Linked DNA regions of Daphnia pulex. The main gene of each other region encodes a partner of the protein of the gene in region 2 in a complex. Links are inferred from orthologs where the notes say so. Each region holds a gene or a part of one and is shown on either strand. Other genes may lie near its edges.

Evidence for each region. The genes of interacting proteins can lie anywhere in the genome.
Region 1: crooked neck-like protein 1 (region 2) and G-patch domain and KOW motifs-containing protein-like share a complex: the UniProt entries of both Homo sapiens proteins name them as parts of the minor spliceosome. The link is inferred for Daphnia pulex from reciprocal best matches to the Homo sapiens genes CRNKL1 and GPKOW.

The regions. Positions count from the first base shown.
Region 1 is NC_060019.1:137,227-141,378, forward strand, and holds G-patch domain and KOW motifs-containing protein-like, read right to left. Parts: upstream 2,812-4,152; 5' UTR 2,715-2,811; coding exon 2,560-2,714; intron 2,496-2,559; coding exon 2,210-2,495; intron 2,151-2,209; coding exon 2,044-2,150; intron 1,974-2,043; coding exon 1,790-1,973; intron 1,732-1,789; coding exon 1,599-1,731; intron 1,534-1,598; coding exon 1,426-1,533; intron 1,247-1,425; coding exon 1,077-1,246; intron 1,013-1,076; coding exon 857-1,012; intron 795-856; coding exon 663-794; 3' UTR 605-662; downstream 1-604. UniProt on the Homo sapiens protein: RNA-binding protein involved in pre-mRNA splicing. As a component of the minor spliceosome, involved in the splicing of U12-type introns in pre-mRNAs.
Region 2 is NC_060026.1:11,199,124-11,203,435, forward strand, and holds the start of crooked neck-like protein 1, read right to left. Parts: upstream 2,939-4,312; 5' UTR 2,848-2,938; coding exon 2,797-2,847; exon of another isoform or gene 2,794-2,796; intron 2,738-2,793; coding exon 2,648-2,737; intron 2,586-2,647; coding exon 2,367-2,585; intron 2,305-2,366; coding exon 2,084-2,304; intron 2,020-2,083; coding exon 1,571-2,019; intron 1,511-1,570; coding exon 1,203-1,510; intron 1,111-1,202; coding exon 886-1,110; intron 823-885; coding exon 626-822; intron 556-625; coding exon 369-555; intron 293-368; coding exon 32-292; 3' UTR 1-31. Other genes in the region: probable maleylacetoacetate isomerase 2, read right to left, coding at 3,353-3,479, 3,544-3,646, 3,743-3,947, 4,047-4,127, 4,224-4,291. UniProt on the Homo sapiens protein: Involved in pre-mRNA splicing process. As a component of the minor spliceosome, involved in the splicing of U12-type introns in pre-mRNAs.

The sequences.
Region 1 (4,152 bases), on a different chromosome or scaffold from region 2:
TCTCGCAGTAACAAGGCAACGACCAATCAGCTGCGAGAGTAAGGAAACAACTGAAGAGCGGCCCTGTTACTGAGCTGTTACGTAGTCTGCACACAGCAGACCTTCATCGTTCGTTCGTTCGTTCGGACTTCGGCGGGAGTCATGAGAAATGACCGAGCGAAAAAAAGCCCCCCCACTGTCCCCCGTAGGGTGGTAGCCTATACGCTTTTCTCGTGAATTGATTGAGCTACGCTGTGTGGGTTCAGTGTACTCTGTACCGAAAAATATCGATGCAAAAATAAAGGGGAACACGCACGTGAAAGGTGTGTACCATTACCGTATTCCCCCTATAGCTCGTGTATTTTTACGATGCCGGTGTATACTTTAATAAATCCCATTGAAAACACACAAAGTTCTTGCCAGACTGACTGGCGCGCCTTGTACTTTCTCATCTCTTTTTCCACTTGAAAAATTTGCATTAGCGTAACGTATCATTAAAATGATAAGAGAGAGAGCTTTCGGCAAACATTTGCATAATGAGAGATTGCCACAGCTGTCTGGGTCACGTAGCAAATTATGTGAGAGGTGCAACAATGAAGACAAAAAGGGTGAAAATCGTTATGAAATTAAACACGAATAGCACATTTGTTTTTATTTAAAAACCAAGTCGAGTTATTTTGTGATTACAAGTTGCGCACATCTCCCGTGTATTCGCAAATGTCGTCGTAGTCTAGTTGGAAAACTTCATCGCGATCCGGTAGAATCTGGACGGTGGCCGTGTATCGTTCCTTGTCCCTTTCAATCACTTGGCAGACCTTTTTATTAAAAAATAAACAAGTTAACAAAAACAACATGTGTGTAAATTTCAGCTAACAACCTGTCCTTTTCGTTTGCCCTTGACGACCATGACGTAAGCGGGATCGCTACGCGGAATGACAGTTTCCAATTTAGAAATGTTGACGTTTTCCAAAAGTTTCCCGTTTTCGGCTTTGCAAATGCAATGATTCTTGGAAATCACGTCCACCACAACCATCTGGAATTCATACCAATCGGCGTGAGAGAAATTCATCTTTTATTTTTAGGACATTTTTATTTACTTTCTGTTTGTAGAATTGGCCGTCCTTGAATGAAGAATCGACGCAGCGGACTCGCAAGAGTGGGTGAAGCCAAGGTTCTCGTTTCTCGTCAGAACCTTTCGACGACCGATTTTTAGAACGAGATTCTTTCTTCTCATCACGGCGCTCCCGACTGCCACTCCGACGACTACCTTTTTTAAAATAAAAGGAAAAAATTATTATAGTGGAATTTCATTACAAACTGATTAATTAACAACGGGAAATTCTGACGGTACGGGCTGGGCGGCTGGCACGAGAACGCCAATGATAAATGTAGGAAAGCGTGACCTTGGGTAGGAGGAGCTAGACAGGACAATCTATCACTACTTACGATGGCTAGGACTATGCTTCCGTTTCTTTCTGCTCTCGCGATCATTTCTTTCCTTCTCGTTTCGCTCCTTGTCCTGTTTCGTTTTGTACTCGTCGTATTTTTCCTTGTCTGAGAATTAAAAGAAAGATGATTAATTTCAAGAAGAAATTTGGCTTGAAATAGATTTAATTTACTCAGAATCCTGGCGGAATCACGATATTCTTTAGCAGAAACTGGTTTCAGAAAGAGCTCGCTCATTTCCAATTCGTTGCTTCCGACAGCCATCCGCACCAGAGCACGACCAGTGTTTGCGTCCATGCTAAGAACCTGATGAAACAAATTTAGTTATAATTTAATGGCAGATTTTAATAGAATTTTTACTTACTTGTCCATATAAACCTTGATGTTTCCCGCTGAGCAACTGTACATTTGCACCGATAATCACTTTGAGCTCTTCTTCGCCTTCTTTTGGCTTTGTTAAAGCTTTAGCTGCATTTTCTAAAACAGTACGGTCAGCCCCAAGACCAAGTCCTTTAGGCCTAAGTTTCACCTCCATGGGAGCAGCCACTCTTGATTGAATAAAAGATAATTTGATGAGAATTCAGAACCATTAATTAATGTGAAATATGGCAATGATACCCTTTTCTAGAGAGACCGATACCCTCTGAGGCTTTCCAACCCATTCCTCTCAACATGGCCATTCCATAGGCTTCCACTGGGATCGCTTCATAATCATCAAGTGTGGACTAGAGAGAAATGTCAAGAGTTAATTACATAATTAAGGTGCAGTTGCGAAATTCAGTACCTGATCTGCACGGAGGGAAACATCTACTTTTTCATCTGTTTCAAAGCCAGATGGAACACGATTTTGCATAAATAGGGGGATATCAATGTTGGAGGGTACGCCATTGCCTCTGTTCTCCCAGCCATCAACAGCCTTCAGTGTTTCTTGCAGGATTTCTTTTTCGGCTTGCTTGTCCAAGTCTGATGCTTCTGTGTTCTCGGTTTTGGTATCACTGCCAGGGGTCCTCCACCGATTCTTTGTTATAAGAGGAATAACCAGTTCCTTTTTGGGTGCTTTTTTGATGGATCTAAATAGAATAATGCAGAAAATGAATGTAAAATTAATATTTTGTGGCGGGAAAAGCAACATACCCATTGATTTTGTTGTGCTCGACAGTTTTGACGAAATCAGTCTCTTCGCGAGTTTCTTGAGTCGTATCCAATAGTTTCGACTGAGTTAATTTCACGTTATCATGTTTCTTTTTTGAACTAAAGGCAAAAGACACACCAGGCTTGGTTTCCGACATAATGACACACGAATACGTTAATATCAAGGATTTCCTTTTCGCTCAGAAGATGTCTTTATGGAAACAACAAAAAAGGTGGGGAGACGCAAGCAGACGAACATTGAAAAATCAAATCAGACAACTGCCGTGCATTCTGCGGTGGTATTATAACTACGCGTAGCTTCTGCATAATTTTCGTGTAATTAAAATATCTAATTAATTCGCTAGGCGAAGGCGATGTTTCGTCGTTTTAATTAAATTGTCTGAAGGAAAAATTCAATTATGTTACTAGGCAACTGCAACTGATTTGATTTCATCCTGCCTGACGCTGATGCCGCCAGGCCACAGCCGCGGTTGCCTCTAGTGCCTACTTGACTTTGATTAAAATGTAACCGAGTACGTAATTAAAAGGAAATGGAGCACGAAGATGAGAAGATGATATCATGGGCTCATTTTGTAACTGCCTGTAGCGTCACGCAATGGAGATGCTCGCATCATATTGACAAAGTTGTAAGGCTTCATCAAAGAATTGAGGTCACTATATATTGATACTGATGCACGTAGACCATTGAAGTGACATAATCATGTGACACAATCAAGTATATTTATTTAATAAAATCGAACGACCGGGGCCTTGATTTTTTTGTAGGCTGGTTCCGAAATTGACCAATCGTAACCTTCGGTGTAATCTACCAGACACTCGCTAGATGTCTGCATCGGACGAGTCAAGCAGACGACAAAATAAAACTCTAGAACAAAAATATTTACGCATTTACGAGCATCGACGATATTTGTTCATTCCAAAACAACTACGTACTGCCATAGAGTGTTGGGTTTGATTTCGTCATTCACTCCTTCCTCTATGGTACTACTAACACAGTGCTGTGACATAATTCCAACCGTATGTTATTACAAAACACATTTATCCTGACCTGAAATTTATTTGTACCAAGTGTCTTGCTCCCATTTCTAGGAAAAATAGGGTTAAGGTTACTCGACAATTTGTTGCTTAACTTGGAATAGATTGGCTGTTTTCCCAAATAGTAGTTTATTTTTAAAAAAAGATTGATTTCATTTCGTTCAAGGTCTCCATGTAGCCACTGGCCCTATAAAAGGACAACCATTCGAGGTTGTATTAGTAGTAGAATAACCCCAAGAGACGATCTTTCTAGTCTGTAATTTTCCATTACGACGACGACATTTCAAATCTTTTACCAAATTCAGAAGGCCGGCAATTTAAATGTTTTAAAAGTTACCTCCAAGCGTTAAAAAAAGTCCCCGTATACAACAGGTAGTAAAAAAAGAAGAAGGGCGTCGATTTACCCTTTCTTTTCTCAATTAAAAGGGTCATTGACGTTTGTTAACCCCCCTTCGATTTAAAACGGTGAAAAAAAGAGGTCTTTTACGGTCAAGGTCATCGACTGTCGTCCGCCAAACCGAGGAACTGCGTTCGACTTGT
Region 2 (4,312 bases):
TTAAAAAGTGTATTTTCTATTCCAGTAGTAGCTAATCCTTATTTTCAGATTCACTACTAGATGATTCACTCGAATCATCGCGATCGTCGGGGACTGTGGACAAGGACACTGGTGGTAACACAGTGTCAGCCAATGGAGCATTGCTTTTGGGTAGTTCCTCTTCCTGGTTTGATGGAGCGGATTCTTTTGCCATTTTCCAAGCTTTGGCCATAGCCAAGAGCTTAAGATTGGGTTTAGTAGCTTCATCCTCGGGGAAAATGTAGTCGAAATACTCTTCCCAACCAGCATCGGTCTAAAAAAAAAAAGAAAAGAAAAAAACATTGCAACGCACAAAATTTTGCATCTAAACGCAAAATATTATCACATACCCCATCTTGTGTTTGGATCCGCCTCCTCTTCTTCACACGTCTAGGCATCAAGTTAACAACCGCATTGCGAGATCCCTCATCTCCATATTCATATTCGAATTCTTGCCAAGCCTCCAACAACATCAATCGCTCCTCTTTGTTGGTAGCCACTTCAAGACCGACTGACTGAGCTATAGAACGTAGCGACCTAGTAACATAATGGGGAATTAAGAAGGTAATTTACGGAGGCTAATAGTTCAAAGCAAAGAAATGCGAACTTGTTTGCACGCTGGAAGACTGCTCTAGCTGCTGCGACTGGCAAACTTGGGTCCTCCTGCTGAGATGCTGCTAGAGTGAGCTCAAATTGAGCAAAACTCATCCAGACTTTTACGTGCTGCGTGCGTTCTAGAAGTCTCTCATATAACGATCGGGCTTTATCATTCTCCTCTTGTTCGATTTCAAAATCGATGTAAGCCTGAAGAACAAACACAACTCCATTAGGAATGAGATCTGTGCACATATTTAAAGTTTAATTTACCTTCCAAAGAATTTCTGGCATATCTAGTAGAGGCTGCTTGATGGCAAGCTCGTAAATGCCGCGAGCACGATCCACATCTCCCAGTAAAGTTTCTAGTTCGGCGAATTTCATCCAAGTGGTGCAATTTTCTGGACCGTTTTGGAGGAACTTTTCATACAATGTCCTGCAGCGGTCAAATTCTCTCAGCTGGATCTCCAAATCAATATATCCACGGAACAACTTGTTCTATAAATAACCAGATTTATTAAAAACTGGTTCATAGACTGGCCTCTAATTAGATTTCATATTTGAAAGAAAAAATACTGAAACATATTTACCTTTGGACATTTACCAATCGCAGTACCTAAAATTTTACGCGCCAATTGCAGATTTTTCTGTCGAACTTCGAAATGGGCGTAAAGGAGCCACATTTTGGCGAATGTGAAGTTACGATGCGGAATGAGCTTAAGACATGAATCGTAGACCTGTCGAGTTTTTTCATAATCTTCGGCTTCCAGTTCTTCGAAAAGTGCATAGTTAATCCACAGATAGATGTAACGACGCCAAAAGGACTTCTCAGCTACTAGCGGGATGTTGGCAATAGCTCTTTCGTATGTATCTCGCACTACTTCAACGTCAGCGTCACCTAAAGATACAATACACATTCGACACAATTCCTTAAAAATTTGATAGTAAGTCAAAATACCTTCACTTTCCATTAGGCGTAAATAATCAAACCATGCATCATAATTTGATGGATTTTCTTTAATTTCTTGTTCATACTGAAATTTTCTTTTACTGACAATAACGTCTTCTATAGCGTCACGCTCTCCAAATTTTTTCTGGTGAATTGTGTAGGCTTTGTACAATTCTGCTGCTTTATCTTTTGACATGTGTTCGAGAGCAAATTTGTAAATAGCAGTTGCTCGTTCATGTTCTTTTTGGCCCTCTTCAAACTTGGAAAAGGCTATGAAAAGCCTTTCGTCCATGTGATCATCACCATAAAAATCCACCGACCGTTCATACACCTGGCGGGCACCGATAATGTAACCGTTCCTTTCTTCAAACTTGGCATACTTGATCCAATTTTTTACTTCCGGGTGCACATAGACAAACCGTTCAAAAATTGAGCGAGCACGATCTAATTCTTTATACCTAGTTATTGGACAAAAATTGGACGTTGATAAGTGTAACGTTAGTATTTACTACATTTATTTACCTTAATTCAAAATTGATGTATGTTTGCCAAGCTTGTTCATCTGGCTGCCATTCCATCCACCTTTCAAATACTTGACGACAACCAGCTATATTGGCCAGCATTTCCTCCATGTAGGTATATTTATACCAAAACTGATTTGCTCTAGGCAAAATTGTAACTGCACGGTCCCACAAGTTTCTGGCATGATTGACTTGCTTATTTTTCATTTCCATTTCTGAATACTAAATTTTTTTAAAATTAGATATTTATTATTTCACAGATTTAACAAATGAAAATTAATTACCTTCAGCCAAAGGGTAATGTTACGATGGTCTACATCAAGAGCACGCTCAAAAACACTTCTGGCTCTTTGAATTTCTTTTTGGCTTTCTTCCCATTGAGCATACTTGATCCAGTTGGTAATAACATTACGATTACGCCGCAGAGCATCTTCAAAGGTTTTGCGTTTCTTGTACTGGTAGTCTGCTAACTCATCGGGATCTGAAATTTTTTGTTTAGGGGGCTAAAAATAGAAAATTTCTTACTTCAGTTCTTCAAGTTGTTATCTATTGCCGAAACACTTACTGGTGGAACAATTTCAAGATCACGTTCCTTAGCTTCCCGAAGCAACTGCTCAGCAGTGATTTGAATTTCTGCCGGTGTTTTGTTTTTAACCTAAAGAGAAATGTGTTATAAGTAATGTCAAGAGCATTCTTACATTTAAGTATTACAACCTTGGCAACTTTAGGAGGTTTTTGTGGTTTACCGAATCCACCCGAATCCATTTTAGATTACTTTTTAAATGAGCACTTGTAAAAAAAATAAAATAAGGTTTTAACAGATATGAGTCTATGACTGACACTTGGTACTGTAGTATTGAACTGACACGAGCAAGTGATGCTTCTTGCAGATTGCAGTTGCGCGAGCGCGACTCGTACGAACCGAACAGACGACGAATCGGACGTTGCCAGATTGATTGTTTACCAGCTTTCAACAGGTTTTTTGAAAGATTTTAACCGGATTTAGCACTTTTCAGGTTTCAGTTTTACAGGAATACTGGAATACACTCTATTTATTCTATAGTTTCAAGACATAAATATTGCAAATATCTGATAAGTGATAATGGCAAATTTTGTTTATTTTTCAGTAAATATCAAACAGCATAACAAGTTCCATTGCAATTCATTCTCCCGTATTCGCAACCCATCGACCAAATTATAATCATCGTTTAATATCGTTATTCTATGGACTGAAGTCCGACTATTTCACATCAATTTTTTTGTTTTATTTTCATGCTGAAAGTTCAGGCGGGCAATCTGGTTGTCGGCTCGGGTGAGCCTTTACGAAAGGCTCAAGAACTTCGAGATTCTTTTCCACACGAGCAATATTAGGAAACTGTGCCACGTCCACATCAAACCTTATTCAGACGAAGCGTGAGAAAAAGAGAACATGAAACGAATCATGGAAACTTTAGTCTTTACCTCCTTGCATTGTACAGTTGTGGGATAAGGCAACAATCAGCCATTGTAACATCATCTCCAACACAGTAATTTCCACTGGAAGTTTCTAATATTTTTTCTAATGCTGTAATAAAAAATTGGGTTTTTATATAAACTTTGCACATATTTCTTAGAGTTTATTAATTTTTTTATTGATATATTCATGAAGATCTTCACCTACCAGTGAGTCCTTTGAAAATCCACTTAGCAGCCCAATCTTTCTGTTTAGATTCTTCAAATTGTTTAAGTACAGCCAAATTCTGTAAGGGTTGAATCCCAGAACCAATAATTTCACATATTTCTCTCACTTTGAATCTAATCACACCATCTTTTGGCAATAAGGGTTTTAAAGGATAAGATTCTTCTAAATATTCCAAAATAGCTACCTAAATGTACAGGAGATGGAAGTAAAAATTATGCATTGAAATTTGAACTGGAAGGTCTTATATATCTATAGTGTCATATTCATATAGTGTCCCTCTTACCGACTGAGTGAAAACTTTGTCCCCAATTGTTAGTGATGGAACTTGAGCCATGGGGTTTATGATTTTATAGTCATCAGCATTCTAAATACATAGAAAAATATGCCAGCGGTATTTTAGCTATTTATATGGGTTTAACTGTGAACATTGTGATGATTTAATAATTTTAAAATTTAGTACCTGCTGACCACCTCCCTTCACTAAATGAACAGCTTTGTATTCATATTCAATTTCTTTAAATTCTAGAGCTAAATAAATACTTTCATGTA